Linked DNA regions of Lepisosteus oculatus. The main gene of each other region encodes a partner of the protein of the gene in region 2 in a complex. Links are inferred from orthologs where the notes say so. Each region holds a gene or a part of one and is shown on either strand. Other genes may lie near its edges. The genes, in order: rgs2, gnai3, grm4 and casr.

The links.
Region 1: the proteins of gnai3 (region 2) and rgs2 are in contact, whole or in part, in a crystal structure (PDB 2V4Z), measured with the Homo sapiens proteins. The link is inferred for Lepisosteus oculatus from reciprocal best matches to the Homo sapiens genes GNAI3 and RGS2. Residues at the interface, in NP_006487.1 of Homo sapiens: Val179, Lys180, Thr181, Thr182, Gly183, Ile184, Val185, Gln204, Ser206, Glu207, Lys209, Lys210, His213, Ala235, Glu236, Asp237, Glu238; in NP_002914.1 of Homo sapiens: Glu104, Phe105, Glu108, Asn109, Glu143, Ala144, Pro145, Glu147, Ile148, Asn149, Asp151, Phe152, Leu180, Asn183, Ser185, Arg188.
Region 3: the proteins of gnai3 (region 2) and grm4 are in contact, whole or in part, in a cryo-EM structure (PDB 8JD6), measured with the Homo sapiens proteins. The link is inferred for Lepisosteus oculatus from reciprocal best matches to the Homo sapiens genes GNAI3 and GRM4. Residues at the interface, in NP_006487.1 of Homo sapiens: Ala31, Lys32, Val34, Lys192, Asp193, Leu194, Thr219, Phe336, Thr340, Ile343, Ile344, Asn347, Leu348, Cys351, Gly352, Leu353, Tyr354; in NP_000832.1 of Homo sapiens: Pro616, Lys619, Ala620, Gly622, Arg623, Glu624, Arg676, Ile677, Ile680, Phe681, Gln683, Gly684, Lys685, Arg686, Ser687, Val688, Ser689, Ala690, Ile694, Ser695, Pro696, Phe781.
Region 4: the proteins of gnai3 (region 2) and casr are in contact, whole or in part, in a cryo-EM structure (PDB 8SZH), measured with the Homo sapiens proteins. The link is inferred for Lepisosteus oculatus from reciprocal best matches to the Homo sapiens genes GNAI3 and CASR. Residues at the interface, in NP_006487.1 of Homo sapiens: Ala31, Lys32, Gln304, Glu308, Lys314, Asp315, Thr316, Lys317, Glu318, Ile319, Tyr320, Thr321, Phe334, Asp337, Ala338, Thr340, Asp341, Ile343, Ile344, Lys345, Asn347, Leu348, Glu350, Cys351, Gly352, Leu353, Tyr354; in NP_000379.3 of Homo sapiens: Lys644, Ala645, Asn647, Arg701, Val702, Val705, Phe706, Ala708, Lys709, Pro711, Thr712, Arg716, Trp719, Phe801, Ile869, Val872, Arg873, Thr876, Ala877, Ala880, Phe881, Lys882, Val883, Ala884, Ala885, Arg886.

The regions. Positions count from the first base shown.
Region 1 is NC_090704.1:12,399,029-12,406,601, forward strand, and holds rgs2 (regulator of G-protein signaling 2), read right to left. Parts: upstream 3,163-7,573; 5' UTR 3,071-3,162; coding exon 2,961-3,070; intron 2,710-2,960; coding exon 2,623-2,709; intron 2,465-2,622; coding exon 2,403-2,464; intron 2,064-2,402; coding exon 1,897-2,063; intron 1,531-1,896; coding exon 1,336-1,530; 3' UTR 4-1,335; downstream 1-3. UniProt on the Homo sapiens protein: Regulates G protein-coupled receptor signaling cascades. Inhibits signal transduction by increasing the GTPase activity of G protein alpha subunits, thereby driving them into their inactive GDP-bound form.
Region 2 is NC_090700.1:39,983,566-39,991,596, reverse strand, and holds the start of gnai3 (guanine nucleotide-binding protein G(i) subunit alpha), read right to left. Parts: upstream 3,034-8,031; 5' UTR 2,441-3,033; coding exon 2,323-2,440; intron 1-2,322. UniProt on the Homo sapiens protein: Heterotrimeric guanine nucleotide-binding proteins (G proteins) function as transducers downstream of G protein-coupled receptors (GPCRs) in numerous signaling cascades.
Region 3 is NC_090700.1:29,443,703-29,450,844, forward strand, and holds the start of grm4 (metabotropic glutamate receptor 4), read right to left. Parts: upstream 3,216-7,142; 5' UTR 1,390-3,215; intron 1-1,389.
Region 4 is NC_090700.1:3,911,379-3,918,995, forward strand, and holds the start of casr (extracellular calcium-sensing receptor), read right to left. Parts: upstream 3,175-7,617; 5' UTR 2,991-3,174; intron 7-2,990; 5' UTR 1-6. UniProt on the Homo sapiens protein: G-protein-coupled receptor that senses changes in the extracellular concentration of calcium ions and plays a key role in maintaining calcium homeostasis.

The DNA.
Region 1 (7,573 bases), on a different chromosome or scaffold from region 2:
GTGTACAAGATTATGAAGAAAATGTATTTAGAAGACAAAATATACAGACCAGGTAAATTGTTACAACAGTATAAAAATAAGTTAATATAACTAACTTGCAGTCCAGCTGCTGTTTCAGTTTGAGTCTAAAATATTGTTTACTGTATGTTCAGAAAGTCATATATCCAATCATCAAATGTAATTGTTAATGTAAAAACATAGCAGCCTACAGTTACATATTCCTGTGTTTTTAACATTTACTTGGGGATTCAATAAGTATGAGCTCTTGAGAATCAACCTCAATTGTGATTTTGTAAAATTCTAAAGAAAATAAAAGATACAAAATAAAAATAAAAATATAATAAAGAATATATATATATATAATTCAGTACATTCACATTCTTGACTTATTTGCCTGAGGTTCAGGAAACACACTCTTTATTCATTTTCCATTTAAATTCTGTTATTCAAAGAAACAGGAAGTTGTTGTTCCTGAAATGAATTTTTAAATGCTTCAAATTACAGTATAATACTAAAATGTAAGCCATGTCTTAGATAAAGAATTAAATCATTCATGTAAATGAACGAAATAAAACTCTTATTAAAATTATAATTTCTGAAAAGTGTAGAGTTACCCTTTAAACACTGTTTACGGACTCTGTTTACGGGCTCTTTCTTAAGATCAATCCGTATTTGGAAAACAAATGTTGTGTCAGTAATTATACAGTATGTAAACTGTTCATTGTGATGGGATGTACAGTATGTAGCTATTTTTGGCCATGACTTATTACAAGTCAAGGAATGCTTGGAATCAAGTGATTACCTGTCTTTAGCGGTATGAATTGGGTTCCATGTGGACCAGCAGAAAAAGTACTAGAAAATGTAACTTGCTCATATACCATTCCACAAATTAACTTAATATGTTTGACTTTTCATACAGTTTCAGGCACTTTAGTGTAAACATATATTCTTTTTTTGGTTATAATTTTTTCTAGTTACTGTACTGCTCATGGAAGAATTACTTAATTTACAAAATAACTTGAAATTGAAAGTATATACATAAATACATAAATTGTTATTAAGTTTGTTTTACATGCATCTTTACCTAAAGCTTTTTATGACTGAAATTTTATAGTCATCCTCTATGGTCACCTATTACCTTTGTTTTAAAAACAGCTCATATCACACAGTGAACTTTCTCCTTGGACTCACAAGGGATCTTTTAAAAACATAGAGTTCTGTGGTGATGTGGATACTGTTTTCAGTACAGTATTTTCTGCAATCTGGCTATGCAAACTCCATAGCCATAGGCTATGGCTCCTTAGGCTTTCAAACTATGCAAGCCCCCGGTGTGGTTCATGATTTCAGGTATTTCCCTTTCCCTTGAGATATTGCCCACAGTTCTTTGTAGATTTCTGACTGTAAAAATCGTGGGTATGAATTATTCTCCATTAGGTTGTAGACTCTTTTCTGTGCAGCATTAAAGCAAGAGGTCATTGGCACCTGAAGATTCTGGATGATGGTATCTTTTGTATGAAAATCCAAATTGATCTGAAACAAATAAATAATAGCAGATATAAGAAGTCAGAATATTTCTAAAGAATTTTATTCCATATATAATAAATACACTTTTAAAGAAATTATATTTAAGTAAGAGAGTAGAGCATGTAGGAATTAAAGGTGTCAGTAATGTAGTCATTTTTAAATAATCAAGTAATAAGTTTATTCCATGCTGAAAAGAGAAGAAAGAAAACACAACGTTTCAGCCGTGGAGCCTTCTTCAGGTGTGAGCTCCATGGCCGAAACAACATTTTCAGCATGGAATAAACCTATTACTTGTTCCTTTAAAGCCTACGCATGCTGATGCAGCTACCCATTCGAAACATTTTTTAATAATGTCATTAAATGCATACTGACCTCTTTTGGGGCCTCACTCTTGATGAATTTGTTATAAATTGTATTTGCCCTAGAGGCTCGCTTCGCTGGTGACTTGATCTTTCTAAAATCTTCACAGGCAAGCCAGAACTCGATATTCTCTTCACAGAACTCTGATTTCAGGAATATCCGGAATGCAGCCTGTCCATCTGCAATACATGAGAGAAAATAATACTTTTAAAAGGAAGGAAAAAATAAACATCTTATCGAACAAATACTATAATGTAGACAGAAAAACATTGTAAACGTACTTGCAAAACCAAGCAGTAACACAAAGCTTACACAAAGCCACTTTAATCATAAGCCCACTGCAGCATGTGTGTAGCATTGTTTCTCTGTTTCACTTTTTTCTGTTAATGCACATATATTAATTGAGAGACAAATGACAGAAACAAATTCCTGTGCCCTGTTGACTTAGGCCCCGCTCTGATGTCTAGCATATTCACTTCAAAATCCTTGACATGATAAAGAAAGAAAACAAAACTTACATTTATGTGACAGAAGTTTTTCAAGAGACTGACTCCATTGGTTTACTTCTTCAACTGTAGGTCTGTCATGAAAGAACATGATTTTTTAGAATGAAATTTCACTGAGTGTCATCAATAACACTCAGATGCAAAATTAAAATCCCACAGTAAGCCATATATAATTAACATGTATTCTTAAACATATCTTTCAAAAAGTTTAAAATCTGATTGTATATGTTACCTGTAGGCTTTACGTCTTGAGGAATGGGCTTCCTTAGAGGAGGATTTTTGCAAGAAGTAGCTTATCCTTGATCTCCAGTTATTTTGTCTGTTATTGGAAACAAAATGCCACATTATAGGTATCTGTATCTGTCCTTGTATACAGCTTCTCTTCTTATTATTACCTCTAGTTCCTAGTTGTAGTATATGATTATAGTTAAACACTACACTGCATTGTACAGTATGTACTGCTAAAAATTATATAAGCATATTTATGCCATATTTTCCACTCTTGCACACTGTAGAAGAATCTATAAATCATAGTGAAAATGCAAATGTTATCATTATTTAGATACTTACTTGTTTCTCTTGTTTTCAACTGGGACCTCTGACATCTCTTCACCGCTAAAGCAAGCCATATCCATTTGTTCTGAGCTGTACAACAGGGGCAAAAATAATGTACTCTGCATCCTTTATTCACAAATACTTCCTACAGACCTCACTGTCTTTTTCAATCTGGTTTGTGTGGAGCTTTATGTCCTCTGTGTAGCGTTTCAGACATGGAGGCGGTGTTAGATTTACATGTACCTGCTCTGGAAAACCATTGGCTGCCTGGTGACAAATTGTTCTATGTGTTACTTGAGTAAGAAAAGTTCTCACTAGGGTACAGCTGTGACGTATAAAGTACACAAAGTACTGCCACAGGCAAAGCACAGGCGTAACTCTTGCTAAAGTACAGAAAATTAACACTTTGCTTTATCAGATGAGCATAGCTGTAATTCAGTTTCTTCATGCTTGCTATCTACACTGGTGAATTTGGCATTGGAGTCTGTCTATAGTTGGTTGTGGTAGAAACAGAAACCTTTTTTTTTTTCCCATGGAAAACACAATGCTCACTTCTCTTGACAAGTTATGTGCTTCTCATGTTTTAAAAGGTCCTTTATGCCTTTTCATTTTTTCATTTAAATTTTATTTTTTATTTTTTAAGTTTGAATCTTTGTGGGGGACAATTTGCCCATGAAGTAAAGGTTTCATTTTAAGTCCGTTCTTCTGTTGTTCATTCATGGGGACGACTAATAAAAAAATCAGAGATGAAACAACAGAGTTCAAAGTCCTACTTTGGTTCCTGCTGAAGTCCTATTACCTGATTTTTAAGCCCTCATATTTTTACTTATTTTTCATTTGTAGCTTCATTTTCAATTGTTAATTATTGCAAATACTGTCACCTCTGACTGCCCAAAACCCCTGTGAAAAACTTTGATTATACTTTTGTTTGAAAATATGTATATTTTCCTTGAAAGCTAAATGTGTTAAGTGCAGAGGATCTGTTAACAGTATTGTTTGAATCAGGGAACTACAGTATAACCTGGGTAAATATTAACACAGTCATAAAATTTTATAGTGGTTTTACCCTTAGGAAAATATGACCATCCTTATGAATCTACAGGATTTTTCGGAACATTAAAAGCTGTGGTCAAAGCACAAATAGTGACTGATGCAACTCTCTGAGCCACGTCAGAGTTCTCCTAACAGGCCATGACAATAATATGTATAGTACGCAGTAGAAATACACTACCCTTTGACCTATTCAAGGTGAAAAGGTGAAATGAAAATGCCAGTTATTTTATGTGACAAATATTTATAACCCTAACAAATCAAGGGCACAGGCTCTATTTAGAAGTGAGATAAATGAAAAAAATCACATTTCAAAATGATCAAAAACGGGCCAGCACAGTAGCTCCGCTGCGACCAGGAACTGGAAAAGCTGGTTAAAAAATGAATAGACTAACATATCTAAGAAAAACATGCATCATAATCTCATATGTAATTTATCAAATGATGTAATTATAATCACCAAATAATTTGCAGACTGACGTGGGCTCTGCTCCTGATCTGACCTGTGGAAAATGACACCTCAAAGTTGTACGCAGGACATACACTCATTTAGACAATCATTTCCTTTCCAACTGCAATCCTAAACAGAAACTCATAAGGGCATGACGCCACACCCTGTCAATACACCAGTATCCTGCAGGTTTCCTGTAGCACTGAGGAGTTGACAATGTGAATTAAGCCGAGAAACGTCTAGCCAGCTGTAATTAATCTTATGCAGTGACCATGCAGTTAGTTTAATAATGGCACTAGGGACTTCAAGCTTCCTGCCTACTGGCTATAGGATAGTGACAGACTTGAGTTTGAACGAGTTATTCCCAGATTGTAGAGGTAATACTGCTGTTGTGGTCAAACATTTTGTTGGCTGAAGTACAATGGAGAGCCTCTTGTATTACACAGGAGGTTTCATTCCATTTTGAAAACATGAATCTCAGCTCACATTTGCTTCATGTGCCACTGAATGTTACAGATACTGCACAAAATGAATGCTGTCGAAAGATAGAACTGTTTTCTTCATGAGCCACAGGTCATTGCTACAGTGAAACAAAAAAGATGTGGTTAATTTCGGCAACTGCAGGAGCCCACCACTTTTACCCTGAAATAATGTTTGTGTCACAAGGAGGTTAATGTTTTAGAACTTCACAATAAGTAGCATTTCTGCAACAGTACTTAAAAAGTTTCTTTTTTGTTTTAATTTTTGCAAAAGAATCATCTGTTAACAGTCTAGATTTCAAAATTCTGAACTTTGTCTTGATCGTGTCAAATGTTACCACCTCAGCATTACCATTTTAAAAGAATTTTATAAGGGAGGCAGTGATACACAGCACCTGAAGTGCACCTGGTGTAATTAATGTATACACTTTTACAGTGATTTTTGTAATCTTAATCTTGTCAGCATTAACCAGAAACCAGAAACCAGAAAGAAAAATAAAACACTGCACTTCGTTGTTAGGTTAAGTATTTAATCCCTTTGACAAACTACTTAAATTACTTTGAAAAGTTACGTGTTCAATTCAATGGCCTCTGTGTGCAATAACAGTGGTTCACATGCTTTCAGCATAAATATACCAGTCTCTGTAAGTTCTCCCAATGAGATAGTCCATGAACACCAGGAAGCTTTAAAAATGTCTTGGGGATAAAGGTGGCGAAAGTCACAGATCGGGAGAAGGGTGCAAAAATAAAAAACAGTGAATGTCCCTTTAAACAGGGTGAAGTTGATTATTTCAAAGAGAAAAGTGTATAGTACCACCCAACCAATAGGCTAGGCTAGATCAGGCTGTTCCTCCAAACTGAACAGCTGGGCAAAAGGAATCTGGTTAGGAATGCCACCATGAGACCAACAGTAACAGCAGTTACTGTTAATATCCTGATCATTCCACAAAGCTGGCCTGTGTTGCAAAACCATCTCAAATCCTGCATTAAGTGTACGACACTGTGCATTTAAGAGACATGGCAAAATATTTTTGGAACAAACACAAATGACACAATTTTTTTTAACTTAAATTTGAGAGTTATGTCTGGAGCAAACTGAACTCAGAGCATCACTAAGGCAACACCATCTCTACTATAAAGCAAGGTGTTTTATTTTATGTGGCTGCCACTCATCACCAGGGACTGAAAATTTTATCAAGAGGGGAAAATAGATGGTAATTCTTAGAGAAACCTGATTAAGTCTATTAAAGCCCTAAACTGAAAACAGTCAAAGAAAGAAGGAACACAACACAATGAAAATCACAATGGAATTATTTTTATCAGAAATTGTGAAAATCTTAGGACATTTTGAGCCTCTCTGTCCACCATCATTAAATTCTACTAAGACTGCTGTCTGACAGGGAGTGCCTCTAATCGTAGTCTACCGAGTACTATACTAGAAAACATTAAAAAATTACACTAATGACTCATTTTCCTTTGTATTAAAATTAAGATGATATACCTCAACCTTAATATTCTATGTAATTTAGTTGTTATAATTTTGAAATCTATAAATGTTTAAAGCCTTTAGTACATTCAGGTTACTCTGACTGTACATAATGACTGCAATTTAACTCCATGCAAACAAATCTTTCTCTGACATCTTGCAAACTACTACTACTACTACTACTACTACTACTACTACTACTACTACTACATCATCATCATTATCATCATAGGACAGCGTGGTGGTGCAGTATTAGTATTGCTGTCTCATGATGCTGAGGGCCTGGGTTCAATTGCGGACTTGGGAATCTGTGTTTGTATGTTCTTAAAACAAAAAGAAAAAGTCAAAAGAAAAAAAAAAGAAAAGAAAATGAACACCAACAACTTTATGACTTCTTCCCCATTTTTCATATTAGATCTTAAAACTGAAAAAAAAATTAAATGCTCCTGAAAGTAAATATACTTACTGTGTTTTGTAGCTTGTCATTTATGGGGTTCTTGAATGTCATAATACCAAAATGTTCAAGTTTGTTTTAAAAAGAAACACAACTAATATGAAGAATGCTTATTTACTTTGTAATTTGTTTGAAAGAGCATTGGAAACAATACAGCCCACGTATTTCTGAGGTATGCAGTCTGCAAACCTTTAGTTGTGACCTTTCGTGTGCCGAGCTGTGAGTGCATTACATGAGTAGGCAGAGATGTCTGCATTTGTTTTAAAATAAGACCACCTCTTCAGTCCCACCATAAACTAACAAACTCTTTTTCCATTTTGTTTTTCTTCTTTTACAGTATGTGTAAATTGTTTCCTTTCACACCGCCTACAGCTGATTAATGCGTGAACTTCAAAATGCCTCATTAAATACTTGCATGGTCAGAGCATACCAAACTGCTTGTAACCTGGCATGAACTGAATAAACTGCTAAGGAAAACTGAAAATAAACAATATTAATTTGATTTTGGATTTGAAAGTGCTTTTCACTGCTTCACAATGCATAAGTCATTGATTTAAATTGGTTCCTTACACAAGGTGTTTACAGCATCTGTGCTCTACAAACTGTACTTTTTCCATTTCCTAAATGATGTAATGCAAATATATCTGTAACAGGCTTTGACATCAATACCAGCTTTGTATTAATCCACATTATTCAAATTGTAAATAA
Region 2 (8,031 bases):
CGCTTCTGAAATAGCATCTATTTAGACGTTAGGTACCTTAATATATTGTATGTATAAGTGTGTTTTTTTGCTTTTATGCAACCGTCACTAGAGAAAAATACAATCAACTTTGTTCGCATGGCAATAAAGTACTGAACTGAAGAAAGACTGAATGGGACCTAACAGCACACTCTACTGAAAGACTGCAAACTACTACTTTCTCATCTGTCCTCTTGTACTGGTAACAGGAGAAGTACAGTCTCTTGCACCAAAGCATGGTAAAAGCCCAGAGCAATCGGGAAAGGACCTCCAGTAGCAGCAACAGCCTGCTGAGAGCGGAGAGCACCAGACAGGCAGCTCATGCATGACGCAGAGAGAACAAGTCTCCAGCTCCAGCAGATCTTTCATGACCTTTAGGAAGAAAGACACCGAGCGTTTTCAAAAGTACAGGGATTGAGCAATTTAAAACTAATTAAGTCTCTTACATTAGCTTTCGCTGATCTTTGTAGGTAATGTGCTAGAAAGGCCTAACTTGATAAAATACCAAAAAGCAATGAAAGGAGGGGAAATGGTTATCTTCATTTATTTTTTCCCCTCTTTTCTATATAATAACTACTGTAAGGCTGCAGAACAGAGGTCTAGAAACGCGTTTTGTTACACTTCAACAACATATCTAGAGTGCCTTATACCCCTATAAGCCCAGGTACAGTACACTAGGGAGAAAGTATTATGAATCAGAATGAATGTATTTTAACTGCGGAGGACTGTTTCCAAAGACTACACACTTCAGTGTCTACAGATGTTCTGTATTGCAGGTCTCCGAGTGTCAAAATTCAAAGTTTTCCATAAAGCTTTGATCTAATCTGAGTAGCTGCCGATGCCACAGGCTCTCCTGATACAGCAGCCATGCAAATGCAGTATAGCTGTTTGCACTGGCACCAGGCCTGAAATAAAACAAATTAGAGCACACTGAAAGACACTATCAGCTAGCATGACCACAAAGTGGAATGTTAATGACATCATAGGACACGGAGACCACTGGCGGTTCCACAATCCCCACAGTTTGACACTCACGTAACAGTAATACTGGTTGAATGTTTTCCAAGGCTTTATCAGAAAGCTGCTTCTTCTGGGAGTCTGACAGCTCTGTAGAAGAGCATCAAGGGAACAACACAAGAGCTGAGTCCACTTTAAAGAGCTTGAGGAAAATGCACAACTACCAGGACAGCCTTATCCCCCTAAGCCTGCATTTTAATAATTAACAGAAGCGGATTGGGTGATCTAGTAACTTCATTTTATCTTTTAATCCAGAAAAGGTTCTGAAGCCTATTAAAGTCACACTACTGTTGCTTTATAGTGCCTGTCAAGCTGTGGGCAGTTGGGTGCCCTAAAAAAAACTGGATTTCGCTTCCCAACAGCTGTACAAACGCCGGGAGAAGTGCTTACAGAGCGAAGGCAAACTGATTTACTGTCAACAACGCCGGCTGTACGAACTGAATATAAAAGCATGGCTCTCCCATCTATTGTAGTCCATCTTTTTCTCTAAATCCCAGTTTTCCCGTTTGTGTTATTTCGTTGTTTGGGGGCAGTAAAGAAACGTCTAGTCAATAAGCGGCATCAGAGACTTGGCCCTCTTCCCTGTGCCGAGGGATGTTTTAAAGCCCAGTTCGCTATAAAGACGGAAGGCTTTCATTACTGTCTTGAGTTCCCGTTCCACCGCATCACGAGTCTCACAGACCTGGAACCGCCTCTGAAACTCGCGAACGGCAGACAACTCGCTGGGGTGATAACTCGCTAGACTCTGTCTCACCGTGATGAAAAGTTCAAACAATGACCGAGCAAACACGTTCCGATTTGAAATCACATACACGACAGAGCATCTTAAGAGACCAGCTATTGCGCATTACGCTCTCCGGGCAGTTAAAAACAAGCCTCGTTTAATAAAATATGGGAAATCAGTTTCTATATTTTCAAAGGACAGTCTGAACAGAGTTTGGCAAGAAAAAGACATTTAAATGTCACGACAGAGGAGGCAGTGTGGACCGCAGGGGTCAGTGCGGACACGGTCACTTGGCAGATCTGTGTCGCCCGTGAAACATTTTCTCCAACTTTTCTCTAGCACTTCGTTCCCAAGGCTGTTCCGCAGAAGCAGATGAGACATCGGAGCACTCTTCCACAAGCACAAGTTCAGATAACAGCCCCGCGATCGGCACCGCCTCCCGCTTTTCGCGGCAGCGGAGACCGACCGGGGACGCGATCTGTCCGCGACAGAGGCCAGCGATCACGGCCACCGATCCCCCCCTGCCCGGGTTTCCAAGACCGGTCACTCGGAGACGGGCTTACCAAGCAGGAGCAACTTCACCTCCCGGGCGGCCTTCTCCCCGTCCTCCCGCAGGTTGCGGTCGATCATCTTGCTCCTCTCCACCGCGGCTTTGTCCTCGGCGCTGAGCGTGCACCCCATCTCGGTAGCCCCAGATTCCCAAGACCCCAAAAAATTAGCGAGTGACGGGGGAGGGGGGAAAAAAAACTCTCTCCCAAGACAACGGCTGAGGGATTGCCGGGCTTGGACAGAAAAAAAAAATAATGAAGAGCAGTCGGAGGGTGTGGGGGTAAAAAGGCGTTGGTCACCGACTCTCTCACATGGGAAAGCAAGCAGCGAATGTTACAAAACCGAGATGAAAACAGAAGAACACCCTAATGACGGTAACTCGAGTCCCGAAATAAAATAACGGGCAAAATTAAAGGCCTGATCCCGTGGTGTCCTCGCATACCTTCAGTGTTTCGCCGAGAAGCAGGCGTTGCCCTCTCCAATGCTTTCACAAGCTGAGCATTGGCTCAAAAGAAAAAAAAACTCTAAAACAAAATCGGAAATTAAAATGCAGCCCTCCCGAAAACACAAGAAACTAACAGCGTTATAGTATCTTCCTTCCGATTAAAAAACAGTAGTCCATCGGTGTCTCACACTTTTCTCCCTTATTAAATTGGCGTTTTAAATTACTGGTGTAGCTGTCTCGCGCCGTTTCCGTTGCTCGTCGGGGGGAGAGAGAGAGAGAGGAAAAAAAATCGAATTGTATGCAAACGAGGGCAGCCACTGCACGGGAAGCGGAAATGAGCGAGCGGGGCGCAGGGGGGTGATGGGAAGTGTAGTTTGTAGGGATATGCCAGGAGTCTGCTGAAAACCGCACAATATTCTAAATAGAAATCAAATGTACATTCCGGGGAAAACGTCTTAATCTTAATTAAGAAAGTCATTCAAACATTGTGGATTAAAAAAAATCACAAAGCTGCCTCATACCAATTAAGTTAATCTTTAATCGTTTGCCTAATTTAGGTCTTGCAGTGAATTTATAAAGAAGTGTTGCAAAAGCAGGGTTAGCACAACACCAGTAGACGGTTTGGAAAGTATACTGCGGTAGAAAATTACTCTGATCATTGTACCACATATACCTAGTCTTTTAATACACTATGGATTTCTGATATTAACTTTTTATGAAATACCTTATTTTACTGCTCCACCGTTTAAAAGCAAGACATTTCCTTCCCATTTCAGAGGAAATCTTACGGAATCCAGAGGGTGACGTTTTAAAATAGCTGGACAATTTAAAAAAAATATTTCTTCTGAATTTCTTTTGTGAAATGAGTCTGAATTGGTCTTGGTCGTCTGGTTTCTGATTTCCTGTAATTCTCCTTGGGGCGATGCTAAAATGTTTAACGCACGTTGAAAATGACAAGGTTGAATTTGTCTCTGCTTTCTTAAAGCATTTTCATCTTAATCTCCCCTAACTTTTAACAATACTCTGCTCCTATGATTACTACTACCGACAATACTAATATCATAATAGTGTTAGTCAACTCTACATTTGTTTAAATGTATCAATGCAACACGTTTCGTCTTCTTGTTCCTGCGACTCCGTATTCTGTCAAGAGTCCCTCGGTGCGAGTTCGTCTGAAGTACTTGAGCGCCGTCTTGTGGACCGACGGAGAAAGCGCAGAGGAGCTCTCGGGACAGTGATTAAATATAGTATGAGTGTACTGAGCAGATACACTCATACACACACACACAAAGAACCATTCTGACCGTATAATATTATCAGCTTGTTATTAACAGTTACTCTTAACTTGCCTATACCCGTTTATCTACTGTTAACATTTTTAGCTTTCTGCATTTTACCTAGATTACCCTCTATGCGCGTCATGAATGTTTGGCAGAAGATCGTGGGATACTTTAATAAACGTATATATACGTTTTTAAAAAACGTGCTTAAAATCTGAGTACTACAGACTGGGTTTGATGCTGCTTATTAAAAAAAGGCAGCAGGACAGCTTCCAGAATACCGGATCTGTTCTGAAAATGTAACGCCGTGGTCACCTCTAAAGGTCTCCGTTTAACAGTGTACTTAAAACAAGTACAAGGCGATGCCCTTCACTACGCTAGTGTCCAATCCCCTGCAATTGTTTTTAGAAGCAGTTTCCGACCAGCTCCATTCTGGACGCCCTCGAGAAGACAACAAACCCCCATTTTCGCCGTCCTTACAGGACCCCAGAGCTCGAACCCCTGCCCAATACGTCCAGTTGACGAGACGGGACAGTCCGCACCCACGATGCACAGAGCAGCGCGCTCACACAGCCGGGGCTATTTGGAGAGGCCAGTTCACGTGCAGATCCTGTCGCTGGGAGGTGGGAGGAAACCCACACGAACGGGATAACATGCGAGCTCCCCCCCATACTGCCAAGGCGCTCAAGACTGGACTCGGGAAGAGTGAGGCCTGGGAGGGCTCACCGCCAGTCCCGCCTATACTACCCACCCTGAGCACAGAAACGGCTGAACGCAGCCTAAGCCGCGGGTGAAAAGACCTGGCTTTATCTTGTAGCACACGCGTGGAAAGCTCATCCTGAACCCCAATCCGCTGCGCCACTCAGCTCTCGCTCTATTCACGAGTTTTTTTCCAGAAAAAGTTTATGAAATGTACAGATAGCCGCTTGGAAACGAAAAGGGATTCATTTTCCTTGCAGTGAAGTGAGCAAGGATTAAACGGAAGCAACTTGTTCAATCGTGTAAACCTTCTGCACAACAAACATTTCTTAAACAAGCGTTTGAAAGGTTGCACAACTTCTGTAAACGTTTTCGTGATCCCCGCGTCTTCTACAACTGTTTTCTAAACAAGACAATACGGTTTATTCTCCCGACTTCCTAAATACGGGCGCCCGAGACTAGGTGTTACATAATCGAAGAAGAGGGTTTTCGCTGTGGGTGTATCTCCTCCCTCATCTGGACCCTATCGACAGCGGTGTGCGCTTTCCTCCTTCTGCTCAAACACTCCCGCACTACCCTATATCACTCTGGACCATACCAGTCCTACCGCCTTGCAGTTTTTATAGGTGCGTCTTAATGAGCAGTCAGTTAAGTCTCGTAGCCGGGGGCGGCAGAATTGACCAATTAAAGCAATGCATTAAGAAATTGAATGGTCTGGAATGTAATCCCAGAGTCCCTTTTGTTACTGCACTAACGAAATATACTCCATGTTTTAGAACAAGGGTCTCACACTCATTTCCTGGAGGGTCTTCTGGATTACAGAGTTGGTCTAATAAATTAATTAGCCGCGTAATTGTTATACCTTTAAACAAGGTCCGAGGTGAAATATAGCTAACTGTACCTTTAATGAAGAGAAGGTCTTGTGCAATCACCTGTTAAAAGACCCACAGAAAATATGACATATGTCAGATTTAGAAAATAAAATGGTTTAATTGGGTGTTCGTGTTAGATCAGTAACCAGAAGAAACAAGGCCCTCCACGATCTGGATATTAGTAGTGCCTCTGTAGTTTTATTTTCAAAGAGGTTAAAACATATCAGGTGCACACTTGCTTTGTTATTTCAATATATTTATGAATCCAGAGAGAGGGTTGAAACGGTCTTTCCTCTTTTTCACTGATGTCCCATCAATTCAAAATCGGTCAGGGGGAAACGGAAACGACACGAAAATGTCTTTTGTGTGTCGTTTACCTACAGTGTGTGAATTAGGTACGCTGGTGAAAACTCTAGCCTCCGGCGAAACTACAGTGCAGACGGGACAGTTAAAGACACGGGCGGCGCGGCGCGGCGCGGAGCAGCGCAGGGCTGAGGCCGGCCGGTGAGCAGGGCGCGTTCAGGGCGCCGGGATGGAAGATGAGGCTGCGCCCACAACCGGATCAAAACCCACGGCGTGAGTCAAGCGGAAGGGTTCAAGGAGGAGGCCCTGAACGTCCTTAAACGCTGCCGAGCTAAACTGGAGATATGGGAGTGGGGGAGGTACAGTAGCTGTCTTTTAACACAGGGCTCCTCCTTCAACTAGTCCCCGCTTCCCCCTTCTTCTCCTGAAAATAAAAATGTCATGGAGGACGGGTTGTCATGGTAACCGCGGATCGCAGAGAACCCGAAGGCATGTGGAATGGTGCTGCTGCGTTTCCGAGAGGGGGGTCGACCTCCACACACAGCATGGATGGAGAACACACGAGGAAAAGTGTCCAGCACCCCAGAGCCACAGTAACACATCGAGAGGTGTGCAAAAGAGGTCGAACAGGGAGCTCTGGGCTGAATGTGTTAATTAACCTGCTCGAGTGCTGGAATCCAAAGACCTGCAATAGAATTTATAGAGTCACGCCACCTTCTCCACTTGCTTATAGTGATTTTTGTGTTTGTGTGATTTTTGTGAGCTGGCAGAAAAGACATTTAATTACCAGCAACTACTGGCAATGAAGTTGTATTGTATTGTAGCTGTATTGTTGTGCATTTGATAAGTAAACTTTCATTTGATTTATAGAATGTCTAAGCACAACTAGGACTCATCAAAAATAAAGTGCAGTACGCAACAACACTAACTATAATGTCCACCTGCGATCAACAGGGCCTAGCTAATAGACCCATAGAGAAGTGTGAGTGATTACTGGAAAAGGCTGTAAAGATTTGATGAGCATTTTCACCCTCTGCAGCTGCTGTGCAAGCCATCAGTTTAACTACACACTACAGGGTGAAGCACACAGGGGCTGCAGCTGGATTGCGCTGACTAGAACTTGAAGAACCAGAACATGTATCCCAGTCACAGCTGCTGCTGCCCACTCGGTGCATCAGCAATAGCACTGCTGTGCATTTTGCCCTGCTGAAAGCCCCTTCTCTGCCGCCCCCAGGAGAATCAGCCCATTAATGCACTGTGAGTGAGAGTGACCCCATCTTCAGTTCACCTCAGGGCATTCCCGTTCCCTCTATCACTCCGGAGACTTCCAGCGCTCACTTTGGAGCGTTTGAATGTCGTTGTGGTGGTAATTGGGCCCTGGGCCCTGGGGGTCCCTGGGGGAGCGCAGGTCCACAGCAGTCAGGAGGGAGAGCTGAGTGGCAGGAGGAAGGATGAGCTCTTCTCCCTTTGGCAAAGGCCAAGAGGCTTTCATGTAAAACATCTGGAGAGCCAATTACAGATCCCTCTATTCCTCTCAATAAGGTATTTATTCAGAAGAACACCCTGTTTTCACACTCCCCTTGCTCTCTGGGATCACTTAAAACTTAGCAGTGTTTTGACCCCATTTTGCCTGAATTTGTCTTCTTCCTTCCTATGACAATTTCCCTGTTTTTAGTGTGGTTAATTACAATGTAGCTACGGAAAAGCTGGGAACTGGCAGCTCATCACAGTGCATTTGTGTACATATACTGCACATATCGTGATATACTGTGTATCCTTCACAATTCCTGTTACTGGGCGCATGTAGACATCCTGCGTGGTTCTGGGACCAGTATTCTTAAGAACATAAGAGCAGGTTCAATCATGACAAGGCTTTTGGGCCCATCCGGTCCGTTTGCTACTTAGTAGTTGATTGTTCCAAGCTTCTCATCCAGCTGTTTGTTGAAATAAATCAGGGTATTGGCTTCAACAACATTGTTAAGTAGCTTGTTCCACACTCCCACCACCCTTTGTGGAAAGAAGTGCCTCCTGTCCTCTTTAAAATTCACTTCCATGTAGTTTCCACTTGTTTCCTCTTTTTCACTTTTCATTGCTTAATCTGGAGAAATACCCTGGGATTGCTAA
Region 3 (7,142 bases), about 11 Mb from region 2:
ATGTTCTACAGTTAGAATTTACAATGGTCAAAACTGGCATCCAATTAAGAATAAAATACTTCACAGCACTAGTACTCAAAACGCAGCAGCAGAAATTATAGCAATAGTAATAAAACACTACAGATTTGTGTAGCTTTATCTTGATTGCAAAACGTCACTGAAATGTTTAATTCTTCTTATTATCATCTATTTACATTTTCTTGTTTCCGGAGTTCAAGTTCACTGGTGAATCTAACAGACGTGGACGAAAGCGGGAGAGAACGGGCAAAGCGGGTAAGAGGCAGAGGCTGAAAGTGGCGAGAGCAAAGCCGAACGCTGGGCTCCTTGTTCAAGGATCTGCGGCGATCTCCGTCAACTGAGGCAGCCTATGCGCTTCAGAATGTCTAGAGGGAATTCTTCTGCACATACCTCCGGTAGCGGAAAAAAAGGCACGACTTGGAAACAAATCCTGAGAATTTCTCTTTGTTCCCTGATGTTGACTATGTTGCAGGGGGCGTGAACACGTCAACTGAGACTCGGATTAACAGCTTTCGTATTTAAAAGACCAAGGGAGAGAAGAGGGGGTACACATGAATTGCATTGGCTCCTCAGCAGGTGTTGTATTGAAAAAAATATGCAAATTGCTTCATCAAAGACCGACTATGCCCAAATCGGGGAAAGGCAGAAAAAATACATTTTATGAGAAGTAAAACAGGCGCACATCTTTTATCTTTACTGGACAGCTTCTGTTTCTTATCGCTTGACTACCAGAGATTGAAACTAACCAGTAAAAACTCCTTTCGCCCTTCATGTCTCTGGGCATATTTAGCAATATAATATTTCTAAAAACAATTGAGACGCGATGCCGACGCTTTGGGGTATGTTAGAGTAATCGCAGTAACTGGTCATAAAACTAATTTGTAGTACTGAAAACTTTCGAATTTGTGTGCAAAACTAAACTTTCACCGAGACTATATTCACGACTAAACATTGCAATGTAGCAGCACTTTACATTATAGAATGTAATTTTTGCAATAGTCTTGATATTATCCAATGGACTCCCATATTGTAACTAATGATTATAAAGATTATGGTCTAAATCATGTCATGTTACAGTAGACACTGTTTCCCTAAAAGACAAAAGCAGTCTATATAAAGTAGGAAAACGTATGCAATTAAACGTATAATATGGTACATGCTTTTCACATACGATATTTGCGCTGTATCTTTATAAATTGCGAGATAAAAACCCAGCCAAGGAAAATACATAGTCTCTCAGTTGCCGACACACACTCCCTCTGTTGTCAACTAATTCCGGATCTTGAAAGTACGCTCTGCGATGTCAGAGCGTACCTTGTCGGATTTCCTTGCAAGTCAAGAAAGTGCCGGTTTGTGGAAGAAACGCCTTACCTTGGACTGAATTCCGGTGTGTGTGGGGGGTCAGATTTCACAATCCAAACAAAACGATGAGGCTCCGCGTTCAAGAATTCGCAGCCCTACGTTGAATCCAGAGCATCTTGTACCTCTTCTTCGCTTTGATTTCAAAGATTCGAGCTGCAAAAAGCACGCTCGTTTCTGACTCTATCGCTGGCCCTGCGGAGGATTGTTTAACCTATACACACACATTGCTGTCGGGGTGCAAAACACAGATGCTTGTTTCGCTCGTTGGAGTGATGTAAATAATTATACCATCTCCCAGCACGCTGTCTTCTTCTATTCCAGTTCACTCAATCCACCGTGCACAGATCCGAAAGAAACTCGAGCAGTGCCGTACACGCCGCCAGTTTGTTTTAACGCTGTCCATCGAAAAGTGGTGCTTGAAAAAAAAGCGCTAACAGGCAGGTCCAGATTCCTGGCTCCTTTTGGCTTTTTTATACTCAGCTGTGGTTCTACAGAGCCACTCGCGTGTAATATTAAAAATTAGCCCTTTACGACTAACCAGATGAAATCCTGTGTGAAGCCGCTGTACTTAATCTTGTAATACAGAGATTTAGTGGCAATGAGAAATGACTGATATTAGCATAGCGCACTCCCCCGCCGGAATGGGGCTGAACTAAGAAGTCAATGCAGCGGATCGTAGATCTAGCCGAGCAGATTTGAAATTAAATGCACCCGAAGCGAATAAGCGAATAACTATAATAAACCCAACCGCATAAACAGACGTCTGCTAGATGCTGATACGTTTATTCTTGGATTTTTACTACCCTAGCTATCTTTACAATAAAAACCGTCGGAATCGCAGGAAAATAAAATCAAAGGGAAATTCACATATTAATTTTTTTTCCAAGTTTTCCTCTCTCTAGTCATCCCGTGCTTCCAAAACATTTGCTACCACACAGGTTTGCAACTGAAGACGCCCCTGTTTACTTTCTCGGAAATTGCCGTTTCCTTTTCAAAGTTATCAAGAAGTCGGAATGCGTAAAACGGTAGCGAGTTATGGTTTTAATGATCCCATTCGACTTTCGCAATCAACAAGAAGGTAGTCAGTCCCACAGGTGTCCATTCTGTGTTTTAAGCAGAGTAAACCGTCTTTTTCTCACAACAGGATAATCCGAAATGTGCCTTTTCTCAATCTTTACTAGAACGGAATGGTGCTGAGCTCTTCCCAATCGAGGAATAACTTAATCGTTTTCATAGCCAGGGGTGGTTGATGTCGAAATGAATCACGTTTTTTAATAAACTGCAAGGCTCTGCCGCTGGAGTCAGTAGATTTTTTATGCGCTTTTAACTGGGTGACGGGAAACATAAATGCTCTCCAAAAGACACCAGCCGCTATGTCCGAACCGAGATGCTTTAAGGGAATGAAACTAAAAAGCTTGTATTAACCCGTACAACATCACGAGCAGGTGTGATATAGAATATTTATAATAAAAGCGTCAAGTTCACAGGCGTCCACTTCTACCCATCTGTGAATCCGTGCGTTGAGCGGTGTTTTTCAATGGACTCCTCGGTAAAAGAATTAACGCTGCACGGCTGCTGTTGCTGCTACTGCCGCTGCCACTACACTGGATGGTTATTACAGTACATCGCTGAAATTATGCAGCTGTCGCCTGGGCTGTGTTACACTGCTCACTGCTGGGTGATCCCAGCTCCAACTGCCCTGGAAACTGTCCACGGAAGAGAACGAGGTACTGTGGCTGTGACTGTTAAGAAATGAGCTGCAATACAGACAGGTCCGCCTCAATACGAAAAAATCTTTGGGGTAATTAATACCATGTCATTAGCCACCTAGTGCATCGCACCGGGCCTCCACCTAACGAGGGTCGCCTGATTAAATACACTGGGGGTCAGAAAAACTGCAAACCAACATTCCTGCGTCTCCCGTGTTTAGCAGCAGAATGCTGTCATCGGGATTAATTAATACTCAGTGTAACCAAATATATATATATATCTCCCTTTCGGTCTCTGTGCGGAATACACGTGTGCTTTACGCGCTTTAACAGTATTTTTCTCCTGTGCTGCGTTTGTGACTTCAGTTTAATCGCCTTTTCTCTCTCAGTGCTACCTGCTTCGTTCCATACATGAATCGGTGTCGTGTCGTGGGTCAATCTCTGACCGCTATAATCGAGCAACGTGTATCCTACCAAAAGGGATTAAATATTCGAGCAACTGCGAGTGTAATGAGGTGGGAACAAAAAAAGAGTAACTCGGTTAAAGCATTTAGCTTAGGATACCGAGATCAAGAAGCGGGCAAACAGCTGATAAATGAGGTGGGGCAGCAGACATTAAGAGTCCGCGCACGTTAGCGCAAAAAAGCAAGACACTGATTTTTTTAGAAAAAAAAACGAATAAATAACGCAGGGGGAGAAGAAGATTTGTTTTCTGCTCTGAAAAGCGCCCCCCTTTACAACAGTGAAACAAATGTTGGTGCATTAAATGTCAGCAAATGCTAGCAGCCGTTTGATTTACTTATCATTTGTACTCCGAGATATTCGCATTTATCAAGCCGGCGGAGGCTCAGGCTGCTTGTAGCCGAGAGAGAAGCGGTGGGTGGGGTGGCGTTTGAGTGACCGAGAAAAGACGCTTCTCCTCTCTGAACCTTTATCGCTCAAACCGGACACAGATGTGCAGAGGGGTCTGCTGTTATCAGCACCGTTCACTGCATACTGCACATAATGCAATATTTATCATCCACATAAATCAATAAGGTTTCATCAGAGTCAAGCAATTAACCCTCTACGCGTTCAGGGGATTGCGTGGATCAAAACCAAAACCTCAAAACCAGCAAGCAAAACATAATAATGAACCTAAATGCAGTCCACGTGTAGTCCACTAAAATGTCGGAAATAATCTCTGTCCCATCACTGATTCTTCAAATTTCACTGTAAACGGTCTGAAATTCATCCAAATAATCAGGTGGTTCGGTATGGTGTTCCCATCTACACTTAATTATACTGTGTTCCCAACATCTGTATCTTGCTAAATCGAATTGATATTGAATCTATTCGATGGTTGCCCGCTAACGATACACTGAATTAATTTACGAGTACAAAAAGCAAGTCAGTGATTTTTTTACTGGCGTCACTAAACTTTTCGCGTCGTCGACGAAGACCGGTAGATGTTCTGTGATTCTTGTCTAACCTTAGATTTGTTCCTGAAGCTATTATATTGTAATTAGTGTTTGATCGCCAGGCTTCCCGAGTAAATGAGTTTTAACGGTAGCCTACTCGAAATTTCAGATGTTCAACTATCAATCGGTCCTATTGCTAGTAGGGTCTTATATTTCGGACTGTATTGAGGAAGAAAATGCGAGTAATAGGTCCCCTAAATTTCGAACAGTGAAATAAATTCATAGGATCTATCATAGTACTCGGAATCACTCAAAACGGCGGAATTTCGTTTTTTTTACTCTGCCATAAAGCTTAAATTAACGCATTATTTGGCAATCCCTTAATTGGAAACTTTTCAGTTTGTCAGCATTTTAGTCCGAGCATTTGAAATGCGAGGATACATTTTCTGAAACATGTCACGCAAGGAAAGGAAGTCATTAATCCTTTCCCTGTCTTCTTGTATTTTTAAAGACATTGTATCCATCTAATCCCTTTCAAAGGGATTTAATATTGACCTGATGCCTGGTAAACGGTAGTCCGCAGCGAACCTAACAGAAAAAGTAACAGAACAAATGATCATTGCGGAGATTCCTCGGTTTCTCTGTCCCTCCCACTGTTTGGAACAGGATCATTGCCTCTGGGACAGAGACACGAGTCACAGACATAGGAGAGAAAACACTTATAGCAGACATGTTGATGCAGAACAGAGTATTTTATCCCCCCCAATACTTAACGAATTTTATTTTCTTCTGAAGGTTGAAGGCGCCGTCTAGTGCCATGAATTGCCTCCATTTGGTATTGATCTAAGTTTAAATCATGGAACCGACTCTGTTATCTTCTTTTCTCCCCACTTACCCTGCTCTTTATCTACTTCCTCTCGAATTCACGTTTAAAATTCAAATTCGTCGTGCATTATTGGCTTTTACAGTATCGGCAAAGCATTCGTGACGTTTTCTCGAGTTACATAACTCAGTGCACGGCCAAGTCTTTCGCTGCTGAATTAAAAAAGCATTTACTGCAATGTCGAGTACGCAGGCATTGCCAAGAGTTTAGTGTTGAAAGAAGGAATAACTGAACCGGAAGAATGAAAAGAGTCGTTAAATAAACGTGTACATATCTCGCTGTTTACAGTTAATTACAACTTCTTGTATTAACACGTGTGAAGTGTACTGTATGAGTCTCTCGTTTTAATTTGTTGCTGCGTGCGATATTTTATTGCCTGAATTGTTGTGGTTCCGAATTCTTCGACATAGTTCGGCAGTCCTGAACTTTGTATGCCTATACAGAGGGAACGAATACGTCTCTGGCGCGATCTATTTAATCTAATTGCTGGACCCTGCTGGACATCGGCGTTACCCATCGCTGTTGTAAAGAAAAATAAAAACTTTGTCCTACTACAGACTGCACTTTATTTCCTCTTTCTGTGTAAAACACAATGGATAAATCAATATTTAGGATTTAGTTTTGAAGTATTTAAGCCTATGCATAGGCTAGCTATTTTTTGTCACTTTTTATTTGTTTTGGGGGGACGGGACATAAGGGTTCTTTTTCAAGGTATTGTATACAGTAGCTGCAATTGTATCTTGAATGCTTCAGGATGTAAAAGAAATAACTCATCATTTCAATTAAGATGCTATCAAATACCTTTTTACAGGGGTTCATTGCTTAATTAAGCATGTAGTATAAAACTACAGACTCAATTTATCCCTCAAGCCCCCAAAGGCATTTTATTCAAAATACTGAATACCCAAAAGCATCTTTATGCCAGATGTGTGTCTTAATGTCTAATCTCTATTCAATAACAGCTGGCTTCAAAGTTGTTGGAAAAAACAGAAGATCAAACTGGCAAAGCAACAGCAAAGCTAATCTCCACTCATCTCTGTTAATTTGATCGCATTTTAACAATACATATTGAAAAATTGGATTTTAAGACATTCATTGATCTTGCTATTTTAAAACTTTCCTTTTTTAAACCAATTCAGAGTGCTCCAGTTTTTTTCCCTTTGTTTCAGTATGCTGCAAAGGTCTATATTCTTTGTACAAATCACGAGAAAGTTACCCCCCCACACACACTGACTGCCAAAATATCATTGCAATAAATAATTAATACACTCTCCCAGGATAAATGCTGACTCAGATAGCAGATAGAGGGATTGCTCCATTTTTAACGTCAATGCTAGAGTGCAATATAAGAAACACAAGGTACTGTAAAGCATGATTCACTACACATTGCTCCTTTTTAGTGCTTTCCACTGTACTTTGCATTGGGCTGCATTTTGCTGTAGATCTCTCGCCTACACATGATACTGTATACTTTACATATTGTACTTCAAAATACAGAGTCAAAATCATTAACAACTACAAACAGAACAGAGCAAGCCTTTGTTGGGTAGTTAGATTGTTTTTGGTAAGAGGATAAGTGTTTGATGATGCTCTCTAGTAAGATTTTACAAACTCCCACATCTGAAATCTAACTGCAAATGGAATATGCCAATGCCAGGATTCAATTTTAACATGAAAATCAAGTGTCATGTTCAATACATCTGTATCCATAATGCTTCACCATTTACATTCATAAGGTGTTGACAAATAGATGCTATTGTCCTCTATTAT
Region 4 (7,617 bases), about 36 Mb from region 2:
CGTTACCTACAGAGCAGGGGACACAATCACCGAGCGGCATCAATCGGTCTCGCACAGGAAATGACTGTCCCTGCGCTGCTCAGGGCCTTTGTCTCCAGGGCCCTTGTTAAAGTGGAGACACGTCAGAGGAGAGAACAATTACTTGCTTCATGATCAGAGTTCAGAGATTAATCCGGAAATGGTATTACTGATGTTCAGTGACCTTAATTTATACTGTATTATACTGAGATCCGCTCGCAATGTTGCTGCCTAGTGAAGTGTTTTTTTTCTACATGTTGTTCATCTTGCGGGTTTTTTTTTATCCTGTGTTATGTATATTTCTAAACATTTTTTATCACATTATGAAAAGGGACTCAGAAAATTCTCACACCTATTTACGGTATACACTGTGGAGAAGCGAGACACAATCAGGCAGCAGAGACTGAGCCCCACATGTCCCTGGAGTCCATACCAAGGGGTGGGCACCGGGCCCTGTTTTATCTGAACAGCGTCGAGAAGCCACGAGGCCTGCGAAAGCCGCTGGTGCAAGAGACGTGCCTGTCCCTTAGTGGAGCCCCACGAGGGGGCAGGGAGGGGGGCGGCGAAGGACAACGATCGGCGCTCCGAGAGGCAGTCACATCCCTGTAGCCTTATTCCACACCAGGCCTCTGCCAGCACCTGGGCGCTGGTGTGATTCGCGCCCTGCCACGTCTCATTGACCTGCAGAGAGGGACTAATTGCGTTGGAAAAATGCAGGGGCAGGAGTGTGCTAATGAACTAAGCCTTGCCACTTGTGATGCTGGAAAAAAGATTGAACACAGATTGTACAGAGGCTGATTACCGTTGCCGATTACCAATCGCACACCACATGTATGTGGCAAGAATGCGCAGAGCACAGCCAGACTGCTGCGGTCACTTCATCAATACATCCGTGGTGTTATTATAGAAGACGTCTTTCCAAAAGGGAAATTTGATCATGCAAAAACGGAGAATGTGTATTATTGATATGACACTCCTTTTGTCCTTCTCCTCTAGGTAGAACAGCAGCTTGATTTTTTAAACCAACACAGATTGTATATTCACCTGTTAATCATTTACACCTGAAACATTTATGAATTCGTTTTGAGCTCTCATTTTTCCGGTTTCTGAGTAGAAGAAACTACTGGATGTTTAGGTCATTGCAGAACATTTTAGCACCCTAATCCTGTCAGGGAACAGAGCATGCTTTGGCAGATACTTTACATGCTGACTTGTATGTTGCAAAGACAGCGGAAAACTCAGTTTACATCCGACGTATTCAATGTAGAGTTTAGAGAATATAAAAAAAACAAGCGATGTGAAGTGTTTTACATTATAAAATGAACGTTCTCAGTTGCTGTTGAATGCAGGGTGAAACCTACCGTGCACACACACGCTGTCTGGACAGTCCATGGTACACAGACACGGAGAAACAGCGCAGGACAGCTCTGGCGCAGGCAGTGTGTGTATTTTGTCATCTGTCTGAATCATGATCAAAGAAATGCTACAGAATAGGAAGAATGGACGTGCATACTTCCTTTAAACAACTTACACTTAGTATTTACAAATGTACAGTAGAGTCGGAAGAAGACTGAATAAATAATAATAATTCTTTACACTTATATAGCGCTGTTCTGGACTTGATCCAAGCCGTGTGTTTCATCTTGTTGATGGCTTGCAGAAACCGATGGCAGTATAAACTGCACTGTATTGCAAGAACTGCGCCAGCTGTCTCGTCTGGTCTTTCAGACTCTGGTGATTATACACATATCTATTCAAATATATCTTTGAAGGCAAATAGATAAACCCAGAGTCTCGATATAGGTTCATTTAATTGTCCCTATGCCTAATATTTATTGTTATTATAGCTCTGGAAAATGTATGTTCGACAAGATTAACAGATAACAGGAAAGTAGATAAGTAAAGTATTCCTATTTTTAAACGGAAATACATTTGCTTAAAAGCTCCATTTGAGGTTGTGCAAATAATTAAAGTAATAAGACGGCCGTCGCCACTGCTGGAACTGGAGAGCCCTAAACCATCAGTTTCTCAAGACTGGAACCCAACGTGTTGAAGGAAATATTTGAGAACTCCAAGATGACTTATTTTGACAAATCATTTCGAATTGATCAGAGTGAAATTGTTCCAAGGCTTTAGAAAGCGCTGGTTTAATTGCAGACCAGAGCCCCTGGTGTGTTGGGGCATATCGGGAGAGGACAGGAGCAGCCAGTGTTGAGACGGGGTGTGGGCACCGGTATACTGACAGCTGATCTGGTACCAAGCTGCGGACCAAAGTCGATGCGGTAGCAATACTTTCAGGTGCTGAAGCCCCGTCCACTACGTATTCACGAAACGGGAAAAGTCATTATACACCCCGAGTCTTACACTGTTTCCGACTAAAGACGTGAAACTCGCCAATGGCTCCACAGAGACGCAAAATATCGAAATACCCTTTAGAAAATGCGACTGTAGCTGCCAAATGCAAATTATTGAGCACTTTGTAAATAATTTCAGCGCTGTGAAAACAAAAACTGGCTGTTCATTCGACACAGAAAATATGAAGCATTATAGACTTAATTTTGAGGAAATCGATTTCAGGGTTATACTTCGTAGGTTTTGTTCATACTTTGTCTCGGACAGAGTGAGACAAAACTATATCTGGAGAACAAAATTTAAAACACACTACAGAAGTTTTTTTTTAAGTTCAAACAATTCGTTCATAAAAGTTTCCATTCTTGCCTTCAAGGTGCTGATTCATAATTGTAACCACTAGCTAAAAATCTCTGAAACTGTAGCAGTAATTAAACTCTCATTTTTCACACGACATACAAGCAATTCGGGCAAATAGCTTTAGTTCGGTCCTTCAGTAAAGACTCTTGAGAATTCCCTAGTTACCCTAGGCAACTACTTATAATAATATTTCAAGAATAATCAGGAAGTTTTAATAGGTTTTCGTGCGGTGAAAGTGGAATCCAAGTGAGAAATAACCTTACCTCAATAAAATGCTCCCAAATGACACGACACGAGTAATACTGGAGCCTTCTATGTTTATAGTGTTAGGATTGTGGCATCAATTTCGTTCACTTCCAGCATTAATTCTTCTCACGGTATCTTTCAGCAAAGGGCAGCTTAGCGGTAACCTCGGTTACACATTAACCGAAGACGATGCCCGAGCGCAGGCTGGCTCTTCAGCGCATTTCGGCGAAGTCCGCTCCGCAAGCCGAGCCAAGCCGACGCGGCGGGGCGGCCGGGGGGATGAGACGCGCTGTCTTCGCGGGCGCGGAAGGAGGGATCTTCCACCCGAGGCGCGCAGGAAAAAGGCGATCGCCTGCTGAGCTGGTCCTGGCGTGCTGTCCTGTGTCTTGTGGAAATTACAATCCATGTCTGAGTGCTGCCGTGAGGGGAGGGGGGTGGGGTGGGGGAGAGGGCTGCCCCCCTCCCTCCGCCCTGTGTGTTTAACACATTAAACTGGTGAGAACAGCCTGTTACTGGATCAGACGTTATTCCAGCACCTTGTAACAACAGCACACACGGCATTATACACACAGCCCCGGGGTGCACGGCTATTCCGCTGTGCGCTCACGGCCAGGGCTCAGTGGATCTCATAACTGCTCTGGAGCCACGCTAGTGAGGCCGAGCAGCCCACGATGTAACTTCAGCGGGGAGATCCAGTGCCCCCATCACAAAACCAAGCCGGCCACCTGAAGCACACACACGCATTCACTTCAAATGAGTCTTCTTGTCCTGCTCAGAGATGACAAATATTTATGTATCCCTCTTTCTTTTTTATTTCCCGAAAAGGACATAAAAGCTGGTTGTGTAATTAACTTACAACTTTTCAGCTCCCCCCGTGGAGTTTTACAGTGTGGTAAATAAGTAAAAAAAAAAACATTTCTTTCCTAAATACACAGGCTACCACAACAGGGGATTGGGTCCAGCTTTGCGTTACCCAAGTAACAGTATTTATTGCGACTTGCACTCCCCACTGCATTAGGTAATGATGAAACAGACAGGTGAGTATTTACTTTACCCATCATATTAGGGATAAAATCTCCGCTCGCTGCCAGAGATCGTCATGGCTACACGTGAATCTCCGGCCTCCTGCATCACACAGCCATTAGCCTCTGCTGATATCAGGGCAATGTACGAAGTGAGCCTGTCTTGGTTACATGACTTATGATATCAGTAGGTAATAATAATAATAATAATAATAATAATAATAATTGCTTACACTTATATAGCACTTTTCTGGAAACTCCACTTAAAGCGCTTTACAGGTAATGGGGATCCCCTCCACCACCAATGTGCAGCCCCACCTGGATGATGGGACGGCAGCCATAGTGCGCCAGAACACTCCCCACACACCAGCTCTCAGTGGGGAGGAGAGCAGAGTGATGAAGCCAATTCAGAGAGGGGGATTATAAGGAGGCCATGACTGGTAAGGGCCAATGGGAAATTTGGCCCGGACGCCGGGGTTACACCCCTACTCTTTTCGAGAAACGCCCTGGGATTTTTAATGACCACAGAGAGTCAGGACCTCGGTTTTACGTCTCATCCGAAAGACGGCGCCTGTTTACAGTATAGTGTCCCCGTCACAATACTGGGGCATTAGGACCCACATGGACCGCAGGGTGAGCACCCCCTGCTGTCCCCACTAACACCTCTTCCAGCAGCAATCTTAGTTTTTCCCAGGAGGTCTCCCATCCAGGTACTGACCAGGCTTACACCTGCTGAGCTTCAGTGGGCTGCCAGCTGTGAGTTGCATGGTGATATGGCTGCTGGCTTGATGACAGGAACTACAAAGCTCTCCAGATATAGGCTACACCAGTGGTTTCCAACCTGGTCCTAAAGGAGGATTGTCTCTCCCGATTTCTGTTCCAGCTGAGTTCTACATCTGCACTCCAGTGTTAATTAATTATCCACTTTGCATGTTTAGGTTTCAACTCCTTTGTATCATTGTATCAGACACGCCCATATCGAGAGTGACATTGTAACAGACACGCCCACATTGAGTGACATTGTATCAGACACGCCCATATTGAGAGTGCCACTCAGTCAGATCACTCCCACAAAGAGTGACACTGTATCAGACACACCCATATTGAGAGTGACACTGGGTCAGGTCACGCCCACACAAAGTGACACTGTAAAAGACACACTGGGAGTGACACTGCGCCAGACATGCCTATAATGAGACTTCTTTCCTTCTCCAGATGTCCAGGCTACACACCTGAATGAGGGTAGTTCAAAGGCCCAGGAACTGGGATAGGGTTATATCAATTATTGAAAGTAAATTTACAAATATACCCCAGGTAGAAAACTGAAATCCTTTAGCCTGTCATTAGGAAAACTGCTGGTGCAAAAAACAGAAGAGACAACGTTCCTCCAGGACCAGTGTTTGTCTACTCTACTGCTTCACCAATTAAAATCTGAAGAACCTAGTCTTAAGCATTATATATCAACCTATTTTTCTTCCTGTTTACCACCAAGCTCGCTTAAAGGATGACGTCAGCTGGTGAATCATTAAATTCAGGGCCTAATGACACGAGGGAATTCTGGACTGAGAGGGATAGAAGCTGAGTGATGAGCAGAATCTCCATCTCCGTCATGAAATCTGCAGACCTTGAGAGATCGTTTTGAGAATAAAATAAACTTGCACTCTGTGCAGCTCTTGACATTTCCTTGTTTCCCTCTGCTGATGTGAGGAGTGTTAAGATGTGCTTCCGGAATTAGCAGTTTGATCCTCAGTTCCCTCAGCCAGTGGTATCCCGTCCCTGGATTCCAATGGGCAGCAGTGAAGAGGTGGGGAAGATTTCACATGGCCTCATGGATGGGGATGATCCCCTTCTTGAACATTGAAGCACAGAGATAAAGGAAGGAAAAAGACGAATATGAAAAATGACTGACGTGGAACAAATAGATCAGGTATCGATACAATGATTTTTTTTTAATTTTGATTAAAACATGCCATTACAATTACAGATTTACAACACACAACCAAATAGTGAGTTTCACATAGATACTATATAGGAAAGAGTCAACCAAGGGAAGTTTATACTGTAGAAACATATAACAGGCACAGGTAGAAAATTAAGATGCCTCTTGATCACATTTTATCTAAAAAAAAAGGAACAAATGAACACATATAGTGATACATCACAAAATAAAAACATCTTGACTGGATACTTGGGAGAGAGGCCCAACAATCTATGTTTCTGCCATACAGTGCTATAATGATTTATTATATATGTATAAAAGACAAAGCCATTATTTCCCATATCAGTCCAGGAATCTTTTCGCTTAAAAAATCAATTTCAGTTTTAATCTGCTGCTTACAATGCAAGCACACTTAGTGTGCGAAACCTGACATAGTAAAAATTGTACTTTAATTCTTAAGAAGAAGCTGTGCAATACAGCATCACTAGGTAAAAACATGACAATTCTATGGAACTGAGCACATTTGCTGTTAAACCATAATTCAACCTCTTAAATAACACATTTGGAAAATCTTAACACGCTATTTTAATTTTTAAAAATACAAAGAACAACTAAAACACCAAGCTGTTATTACATTTCTCTTTTTCTATAAATTTCATTTCATTGACTGCACATTGCACATTTTATTTGATTGCTCTTCCTCTTTACAGAAGAAGAAAATGGTCTTGAATTTGATATCCAGCTAGAGATCTGATCTGTTCTTGGCTTCTGATTAAGTCACAGAAACATCAGTCATATTTCCCTCAGGCACAGTCAGGAAAAGTAAAGAAAGCTCAACATTTACAACAGCTTGGTCTGCGTTCCTACTTATGAAAAATCAATTCATTGTTGAAAATAAAAGCAATCTCAAATGACAACAACATTGACTGATCGGTTCGTCAACACTCGATGAAGCAACCCCATTGACAAGGAGACACTGAGAAAAGAGTAAGGATCTTCATTATTACAGAGAATGAGAAAGTAATTTGTTTTTCTCCATGAAGGAGAACAACAAAAACAGCAATCAATTTTGAAGCTGTATTCTTGACTAGAAATTGTACAAATGAAGACAAATAATATTACCATTCCTGCATACCTTCAATCACAAAGTGACTATGAGCTATACACTGTAGCACCAGAATAGCCCATCCCCAATGTACAACGTGCAAGGATGAATTCACTGAGTACGGGATTCAGGATTAAATACTCGTACTACATATGCAGATGTGCGCATTCAAAACGGTGCACTTCTGAAAGCAAAAGGCCTGGATCCATCAAACTGAAAATGAATGCAAAAACACTTAAAAGGTCTGGGTGCCCGCACAGCCTGCAGAGACAGAGAAGCAATTACTGCTTCATTGTATAAAACTTACTAGGAGATTAGACAAACCTTCTTTTCCTAAAATAACAAATCAGATCTACAGACCCGCCAGAATCAGAACAGCTTTCAGTCCTACTGGTGTAGGAGGGGAAGAAACTCCTTTATAAAACTCAGGATGAGAGTAAGCCTCTCAGGTAATTTTATGATGTTGCGGTTGTAAATGTCACCTTAATTGTTATTGCTTTGGCCCTGCTCATCAGTCATGACAATAAAACTCTCCGAATGTGAAAAGCAGACATGGGCACAGTTCTGCGTATTGTAGC